Schizosaccharomyces pombe: one gene and its partner. The gene in region 1 interacts genetically with each later gene. Each region holds a gene or a part of one and is shown on either strand. Other genes may lie near its edges.

What was found.
Region 2: mutations in pof15 (region 1) and cwf28 together harm fitness more than expected from each alone (negative genetic interaction), as found in Schizosaccharomyces pombe (one large-scale study listed by BioGRID).

Annotation. Positions count from the first base shown.
Region 1 is NC_003424.3:1,888,175-1,892,668, reverse strand, and holds pof15 (F-box protein), read right to left. Parts: upstream 2,147-4,494; 5' UTR 1,750-2,146; coding exon 1,018-1,749; 3' UTR 579-1,017; downstream 1-578. Other genes in the region: Arv1-like family protein Arv1, read right to left, coding at 29-115; SPOM_SPAPB1A10.13 (uncharacterized protein), read right to left, coding at 3,395-4,494. UniProt on the Schizosaccharomyces pombe protein: Probable substrate recognition component of a SCF (SKP1-CUL1-F-box protein) E3 ubiquitin-protein ligase complex that mediates the ubiquitination and subsequent proteasomal degradation of target proteins.
Region 2 is NC_003423.3:3,990,746-3,994,732, reverse strand, and holds cwf28 (splicing factor Cwf28), read left to right. Parts: upstream 1-1,747; 5' UTR 1,748-1,895; coding exon 1,896-3,041; 3' UTR 3,042-3,121; downstream 3,122-3,987. Other genes in the region: signal recognition particle receptor alpha subunit Srp101, read right to left, coding at 1-897, 1,076-1,276; fes1 (Hsp70 nucleotide exchange factor), read right to left, coding at 3,203-3,987. UniProt on the Schizosaccharomyces pombe protein: Involved in spliceosome maturation and the first step of pre-mRNA splicing.

The sequences.
Region 1 (4,494 bases):
CGAAACATATTGTGTGTATATTACTTACGCATTGAGCTAGTCGAATATTACTGGTACCCCTTCCATAATATGTGTATAAAGAATCGACTTCCGCGCCGCATTCGACGCATTTCATGGTGACGGGTGGTGGTGTCAATGTATTGAGGTATGTTTATGAACCAAACATTCGTATTCTTGGTTGACATGTAAAAACAATGAAGATATATAGAATTTAAAGAAAAAATGAAACAAGTAAGCTTATCTTTATTTGCATAGAAACATAAATACTAAAACTTATCCCAGAGTTCTACCAATTTTAAATTTTATTTGAACACTACCCAATTCCGTTAACAGACGAGTTGTAAAGCCAAAAAACCACCAATGTCAAACCTAAATTTTACAGTTCTTCAATAATATAAACAAATACTGCTTTCACTACATATTTAAAAGATTTGCGAAATAACCACGTCGATTCCAGCATAAAATCACTAACTCTCAAAACAATGCAGACTGACTGGAGCGAAAGAACGTAGTATAGACTTAGTCACATTTACAAGATTAAGCGTCTATTAAAAAGATTTTACAAAGGCTAAAATATTCGTAGAAATGAGAAACGTGAAAACAACATTCAATTGATTGAGCAATTTAAAAAAAGGTAGGTTTTTACTTTTCAGTACAACAAAAAAAAGTTTATTAGAAAAAAAATGTTAAGAAATAAATTTTGTACATGAAGCCAAATGCTGAATGAAATTAAAACAACGCTGAAAAAAAAAACCAGTCGACTGCGTAAAATGTATAAACGCATTTATTAAATGAGAAACCAGGATGTATTAACACAGCAAAACATACATCACAGGTAAATTAAATTTTTAATTAAAAGAATAATAAGTACAAAATGTCAAACAAAGAAGTCGTGAGCGACACAGGCTTGTCAAGCAACGAAAATAAACATTAAAAGAAAACGGAACGCAATCATGATTGTCTCATGAGAATTAAATAATAGAATATTAAACAATGCAGAATGGAAAAAGTTCTTTTTTAATGTACTCTTTTCTCGAGGCAAGATAAAAGGTACTCCGTTTGAACAATAACAGATGTAACAGAAAGATCATACTTTCCAGGAGCAGCATCAACTCTTGTAACAATTAGACCGATGACATGTTGAGTGTTTTGATCAAACCAAAGTGTTTCAGGTTGACCGGGTTTTATCGAATCAAGCCAATCCCGGCGGACACGAATAGGATCTTGAAAGCAAGAAAATATATCGGCTTGATGACGATCGCAGGAAGAACGAGACAAGGTAACGTGAATTCGAACATTGATATGGGGAGCAAGAAACTCCCCAGGGTATCGTTCAAAAGAAGCTAGATCCTCGTCGTCCTCAAAGGAGATTTGAAAAATAGAGGAGCAATTGTTAGGATCCAAGTGGAATACCGAATAACCATCATATTGTAAAGAATACAAACCGCGACGGGCAGACAAGTTGCAAATCGGTGAATCGGTATAGACATCCTTTGCAAAAACGCGAAGTGAATATTCGTCTAAGAAGGAAAGACGAGCACGAATGATCTTGTTGGCAATCAAAGTCAATGGATAACTGGCGAAGCTAGACTGGATAACGTCGTGTGCAGGTAAATACTGCATGACCGAGTCAATGACTTCTACTGGAAGCAGAGTAGAAGATGTTTGTTGAGCGTCGAAATTAACGTAGGAATTAGGTTGAAGGGCAGTCTGGGGTACAGACATGGGGGCTCTAGTAACACAGCTCATTTTTTACCAAACCAAAAAAAAAAAGGTAAGAAATAATTTAAAAAAAAAATCGGGCAATTAAGCTGAATAAATAAAGAGAATATAGCACCGATCGATGGAATGTGAATGAAATGAGATGATGGACGATTAACAAAACAAAATATTTCTATTTCGACCTATTCAAACCTCGATATGCGTTTCTATTATGAAGGAAAAAAGACAGTAAATTGTAAACAATTAAAGAATTAAAATGTCTAAACAAACAAGTAGCTCAAAAAGACGGAATTCCAAAATTAGTGAAAAAAGTAAATAAGCAAACTTCTTTTTCTAAAGCCAAGGAATGACTGTCAACGAGACTAGCAATGGGGAAACCTTGCAATTGAACGCTTTACGTCTCACAATACAAGCCTTGGTTTCTGCAGAATAGATGAAAGGAGATGCTCCTTTTTATAAACTAAAAATTTGGCCTTTTGCCTCCTCTCCCAACTGCCGATATCGTAATTAGAGTTGAAATAAAAATGTCCATTTTGAACCTTAAAGAACGAATGAACGAGCGCCAAGCAGTTATTCCATCAAACCGGATCAACTAAAAATGGCGCGAATGGATCTTGCTACTTTGAAGAGTGGAGATTGGTAAATAGTTAAGCGCAGGAAAAAGTTAGTTCATTCACTTGACCAACGAGTGCAGTATAAAGAAAAAACACTTTTCACTTTTCTTTAAACGACTTACGAAAATCATTTTTTTTTTTTTTTTTTGTTTTCAAACTTCTTGTTTTATTACCACCACCAACTTCTGCCAAATGTTCTGTACCACAAGTCCAGATCTGGATGATACAAAGACTCCTATTAAAAGCAGTTACTGCTCCACTCTACTGTTTTGACAGAAGGGGTTTTGCCTCAGGCCTCGTTACCAGGGAACTGCCGGTAAGGTCTTGGACAAAAAAAAAGCAATGCACTCATAAGGGTACTTGCGGAAAAACTCAAGTTACTGAAATCTATGGCAATGTAACAGCAACAATAACTACTCGTTATACAACAGTCCTGTAAACAAACCGCAGATGTAGTGGGCTACAGTACAACGTTAAAAAACAATGTCGAGTAGAGTTGTAAACAGCATTGCGCTAGTACTCAAGTAGGAGAAAGTAAAAGGATTATCAAGGCAATTAATTATAGGGAAAGAATGAGATGTACAATGCAACATTAGAATAACTAACTTAGAAAACAATGTACAAAACATAAAAATGAGAAGCACAAAAACATAAAACACTAGTACAACGTTAGAAGAATTGGATCCTATAGTGTCGTATAAAGGTAGAATGTTGTTCAAAAATGAATGTCGTGCGAAATAGAATAATATAGGAAGGAAGTTTTTAAGGAAAAAAAAATTAACAATAATTAAAGCAGAGCATAAATTAGGAGAATGCAGAACATACAATACAACAACAAAATAAAAATCAGCACCATCGACTTAGGAACGGTAGCCGAGTTTTGGTGCAGTCAATGTACATTTTCTACAATGTAGTATAAACGACTTTAACTATCAACGTGCGCACATTAGGGTAGAATTCTATCTAACATAAGCAAAGGCAATTCGGTTGACCCGTCCACCCATCCTTGTCTTCTAGTTCCATTAAGCAAACACATGCACGGCCGTAGACGGGTTCGCTCAATGTATAGACGTTCTGTATTCCTCCTTCCACCGTGCCAACAAAGCACGGCTGCAAGCAGGGCTGGGTTGAGAAAACCTCGTCAACTCGACGACCCGTGGAGCACCAGAAAACAAGGATTCCAAGGTAAAGGAGGGAGAAGAGTGTGTACTCGATTCTTTCGTAAACGATGCATGGATGGATGCTTGATTAGAAGGGGAAGTAGCAGGAGATGCATTTGCCGAACGTTGTTGACTAGACTTGATGCCTTGGTTAGTCCAAGATTCTTTGTTTTCGGTAGTTGGTGTTGAGCTCGAGGTAGCATCCGGTAGTGCAGGTTTTTCCGGCTCCACTGGTGATTCCTTGCTTAACGACTTTGTCCTTTCACTACCAGACACATTTCGTAACCCCACTCGATAATTGTTACCTGATCCAGTGCGTCGAGTAACAACCTTACTCTCTAAACTGGCGATGACCTCATTCACATTTGCCGATGGTGCAGCGGTCTGGAGGGGATCTGGGGAAATCACCGATGTGGAAGAGGTGGTGGGGGCTTGTTTTGATACAACATTAACTTGTTCAGTGGGTGTCTTTGTGGAGGAGTCTACAGCAGCAGGCGACTTGGAGGCGGAGAAGGACAAGGGGGATGAGACTTCAACATTGCCACCATTTTCTTTGGCATCCTGGGCAAGAAAGGGTGACTGAGCAATTCGTGGCTTTGTGCGTACTGGCTGTTGGGATGATTTGGATGGTTCCTTTGATGCAGTGTCTTTGGCAGGAGTAGCGGGCTGAAGAAAGGCTTGCATAACATTCTTCACCGTACCAGCCGCTGGCTTTACATCGACATTCTCTTCGTCTGAAGTCTCATTGTTTTGCGGTAAAACCTTCGATTCTAAGAACGGGGTATTTTGGGCTTGCTTAATTCGTTCAGCGATTGACAACGAAGAGTATGGTATTGGAGAAGTCGATCCTTCACGCTTCTCTGCCTTAACTACCATTTCGGGTGTGCTTGCTCCCCTATCGCTATTTGAAGCACTAGTAGCAAGGGTATCAGTATGCGCTGAGGAAGCCTTGCTAGTTGTTGCTTCAACAGCTTTTGTGGTCGAAGATGATGCGTCAT
Region 2 (3,987 bases), on another chromosome or scaffold:
AAGCCAATACGCTATTTTAGCCAATGTTGTAGATTTTCCAACACCATTGACGCCAATGAGAGAAATGGTATACGGACGGTTTTCGTTTTTGCGTACAGAACGAATACTATGCAAAAGGTCCAAAGATGTACTTGGGGTGAGTATTTGAGTAAGCCTATCCCGAAAGGCCTTGTTTACTGTGTTTTTCACAGTATCAAACGAACCAACTTTTTTGTTTATCAACGAAGCCTTCACAGATTCACAAAGCTCCAGAGCTATAGAATTTGCGACATTCTTTTTTGTTAAATGTTCTTGCATTTGCTTTAAAATTGGACTAAGATCCTCCTCCTTCAAGTATTTCCCACCTATTAAGTTGGAGAAAAGGGAAAACGCAGAAGATGCAGATTTATTGGAAATTGTTTGATTGGGATCCATTTCCAAATCACTTATAATAACATCACCACTACCAGTCTTTTGAAACTTATTATTATTACCCACAATAGAAGAAAGTTGGGAATTATCGACTGTTTGGGAAGCAGAAGATGCTTGACTAGAATAGTTCAATGCAGCCTGTTCTTCCTCAGTTATTTGATCATCCCATTTTCTGAGTTGCTTCTTTCCTTTTTTAGGGGCATTTGTTTGCTTGGATTGAGCGCCTTTTTTCTTCATTTCATATTCATTTTTCTTTCTTGCTGAGTTATCATTATTAGCCTCAACAGGTAAAGATTTCGTGTCTGTTTCATTCTCCAGTTGTGCTGATTTACGATTAAAAATGGGAGCGAACAGTTTTTCAACTTCTGCTTCATTAGGAACTTGACGATCTTCTAATTTTTCTTTAAATAGATTCAGAAATATATTATGAGCACTATTAAGCAGTGATTGAGAATATGCCATACATTTCAAATCTTGAAACACAACCTAAAAATTCAACCGCGTTAATTAAGTTCAAATGACACGATAAAGGTATGGCTTTGACTTTGACAAATAATAGAAAATCAAAGATAAAGTATAAACAAAAAAATTTTTGGACCTCATTTTGGGTGTATAGTAATTGACAATTTCTGTCAAAGCACAAATCACAATATATTAAACTTACCACAAAAACTATGCTATATTGTGTAGCCTCTTGATACTGCATGGTGTACCGATCAAATGTTACGGTGTTGTTCACCGTTCTTTGCTCACTTAAGAAAGCTTCGTGAAATAAAACTTGAAGGCATTTCAAATTAACAAGAGAATTTGTTTTTTTCCAAAGTACTATGCCTCCTTTATTAACTATCGCAAACAAGTCAATCATTCCAGGCTCAATCACAAATGGCTTTAAAAGTAGTAAACTACTCACCAACTAAGAAGGAGTGTTCTTGATTAAACACATTGCTCACTGCCGTACAATACATAATAACGCACTATACCAAATCTATGGTGCTAATTGAGTTAAGCTATTTGCTTAAACATATTTTTCTTAACGTATTTTAAAGATTACCTTAAAACTTGTTGTATGCAATATTATACAAGGATAGATGCAATTTGAGACTAAAGGTTGATATTAACAGTAGGCTTTCGTTTCAACCAAAATTGTTTATACTTTTATATTAATAAAAAATGCCACTAAATAAAAAAGCTATTTTTTTACTGCTATTTGAAGGTGCGTTTTAAGTAAGGGAGAAATGAGCATGAATTCTGTAATCCAAATAAAGAGGTAAAGGGAGCACACACTATTCCATGTCTGGGCAACGAAAAATTCCTGAAAAGCTTCACAACTCTCATTGTACGAATGTGATTATTCTCAAGACTATTTTCACTGTAATTTTAAACTTTCCTTCCTACTTATAATCTGGCCGATTTTTGCCATTTTATTTTTTTTGTTCATTGTAATACGCTTAGTCGCAAACAAGTGAGTTATCATAATAACTCTGATGAAGCGAAAAGCCGTATTAGAAGCATTCAGCGATTCTGAGGATGAAGATGAAAAAAAATTAAAAGGTCCTCAACTTATTACTGGATTTAGCGCTGAAGAGGGAGTTCATTATCAGAATGAAACTATTCAGCGCATACACGAAAAGAAAAGAGCGCCAAAGATAATCCACATTGCAAGTGATGAGAACTGGATGGAAAAAAGAAAAGCCAGGTTTAAAAAAAAAGAAACAGAAGTTCATGAGAAACCTTCACAATTGCCAGATAGCGGCTTAAATTATGGTCTAAATATTCGGGTGGCTTCTTCATCAGCAGCGGATAATGAAATTGTGGACTGGAAGGCAAATAATTCAAATGAAAAGGCTCAAAATAAGATAGCCACAAATAAAGAAAGTACTGATATTCTTCCTGAAGAAGTCCAACTTGTCCTTAATGATTTAAATGACGATGTTAAAAGTGCTAATTCTGCCAACTTACAGCCGATTACCACTAATGTTGTTAACGAGAAAGATGCATATAGAAAAGACATTGACGAGCTTCCGGAGCCTTCTAATATGAAAGATTACTCGGAAATTCCGGTTGAAGAATTTGGCGCCGCCATGCTTCGAGGAATGGGTTGGAATGGTCAATTATCTTCTAAAGATGCTTTTGATGTTAATCAAAGGCCGACGTTTTTGGGTATGGGAGCCAAGCCTGTGGATTCCGAACTTACTGAGCTGGATATTTGGAAAAATCCAAAAAAGACTATGTTTCTTCCTGTTAAGCCTCTAGAATCAAATTCCGCTCTGAATTCACAAAACGAACATACTGAAGTACAGAAGAAGTCAAATTCCATTGACAACTTAACTCCCAGTTCAGAACTATTCAGAAAAAGAAGCCGAGATAACAACCTCTCAAGAGAGTCTTCAGTGAGCAGTAAACATTTAGATTATAATTCACGAAATTACAACAAACGCGATAGAGATCCAGACAGAACTAAGTATCGCGAATACCATTCGGAGCGCCGGAAACAACATCGAACAGACCGTTATTCAGATGATTACTATCAAGGAAGGAGTTATTCATATAAAAAACGTTCTCATAGAAGCGATAGATATACTGAGAGAGAAAATCCAGATAGAAGTTACAGAAGTACTCGTACACTTTAATGAATTTACGATTATCTTACTTTTTAAGTACCACAGTTACTAGAGTATCCTTTCCAAATAACCAAAAAATTGTTTATCAGTCATAAACGAAATAAAACATCTCATTATATTGCTCCGTAGTCCACATGAATAATAAAAATAGTAATCGAAGCTTTCAACCTTTATTCAAGAGCTTCGTGAAATGCTTTCCATTCATCGACGGTGAAAATTTCAGGAAACTCTGACTTAAATTGTACGAGCGACTTTAATAACTCGTTAGTATTTGCGACAGACACTTTATTTTTCTGGAATAAATAAAGTGTATGAAGAGATTTGGTAACACAATCCTCATCGACAGAATGTTCAAGACTGAATTGATAAACTTTTTCTGGAATCTGAAATTCGTGTGCCTTTTGAAGAATAATTTGTTTTGATTTATCTTCTTGAATAAGTAATGCATAGAAAAAAAAGATAACTCGTTTTGTCATAACCGAGTGTTTAAGCTCCAAGATTTCAATCAGCATTTCCCAAGAGTTTGGGATTTTATCTAATAAAGCAATTCCAGCTTCGTTAAGTTTAAGCTCACTAGTTATTGCATAAAGGACTTTATTTTTTGTTTCATCCGAATCCTCTTTTTTTAGGGCGCCGAAGAGAATCTTCAATCCATCATTTTCTATAAGCGCTTGTTGAGATTTAGGATTATTTTGAACGGCAGTTGCGATCGTCCAAGCAGCTAATCTGCGCAAGGTAGATTCCGGACTCTCAAGCTGTTTCAATAGGCGAGGCCACAATTGCAGGGGAACCAAATTATTTGCATTGTCAATATGCTCTACGAGCATTTCTAAGTTGTCAAAAGCTATCTCTTTCTGATCTAAAGGTACCGATGGATCCTCAATTGCGTCCATCGCTTTCCTCATTTCATCAGCTGGGTTTGCTCCAAAAATATGATCTAAAACTGAGGGATCAA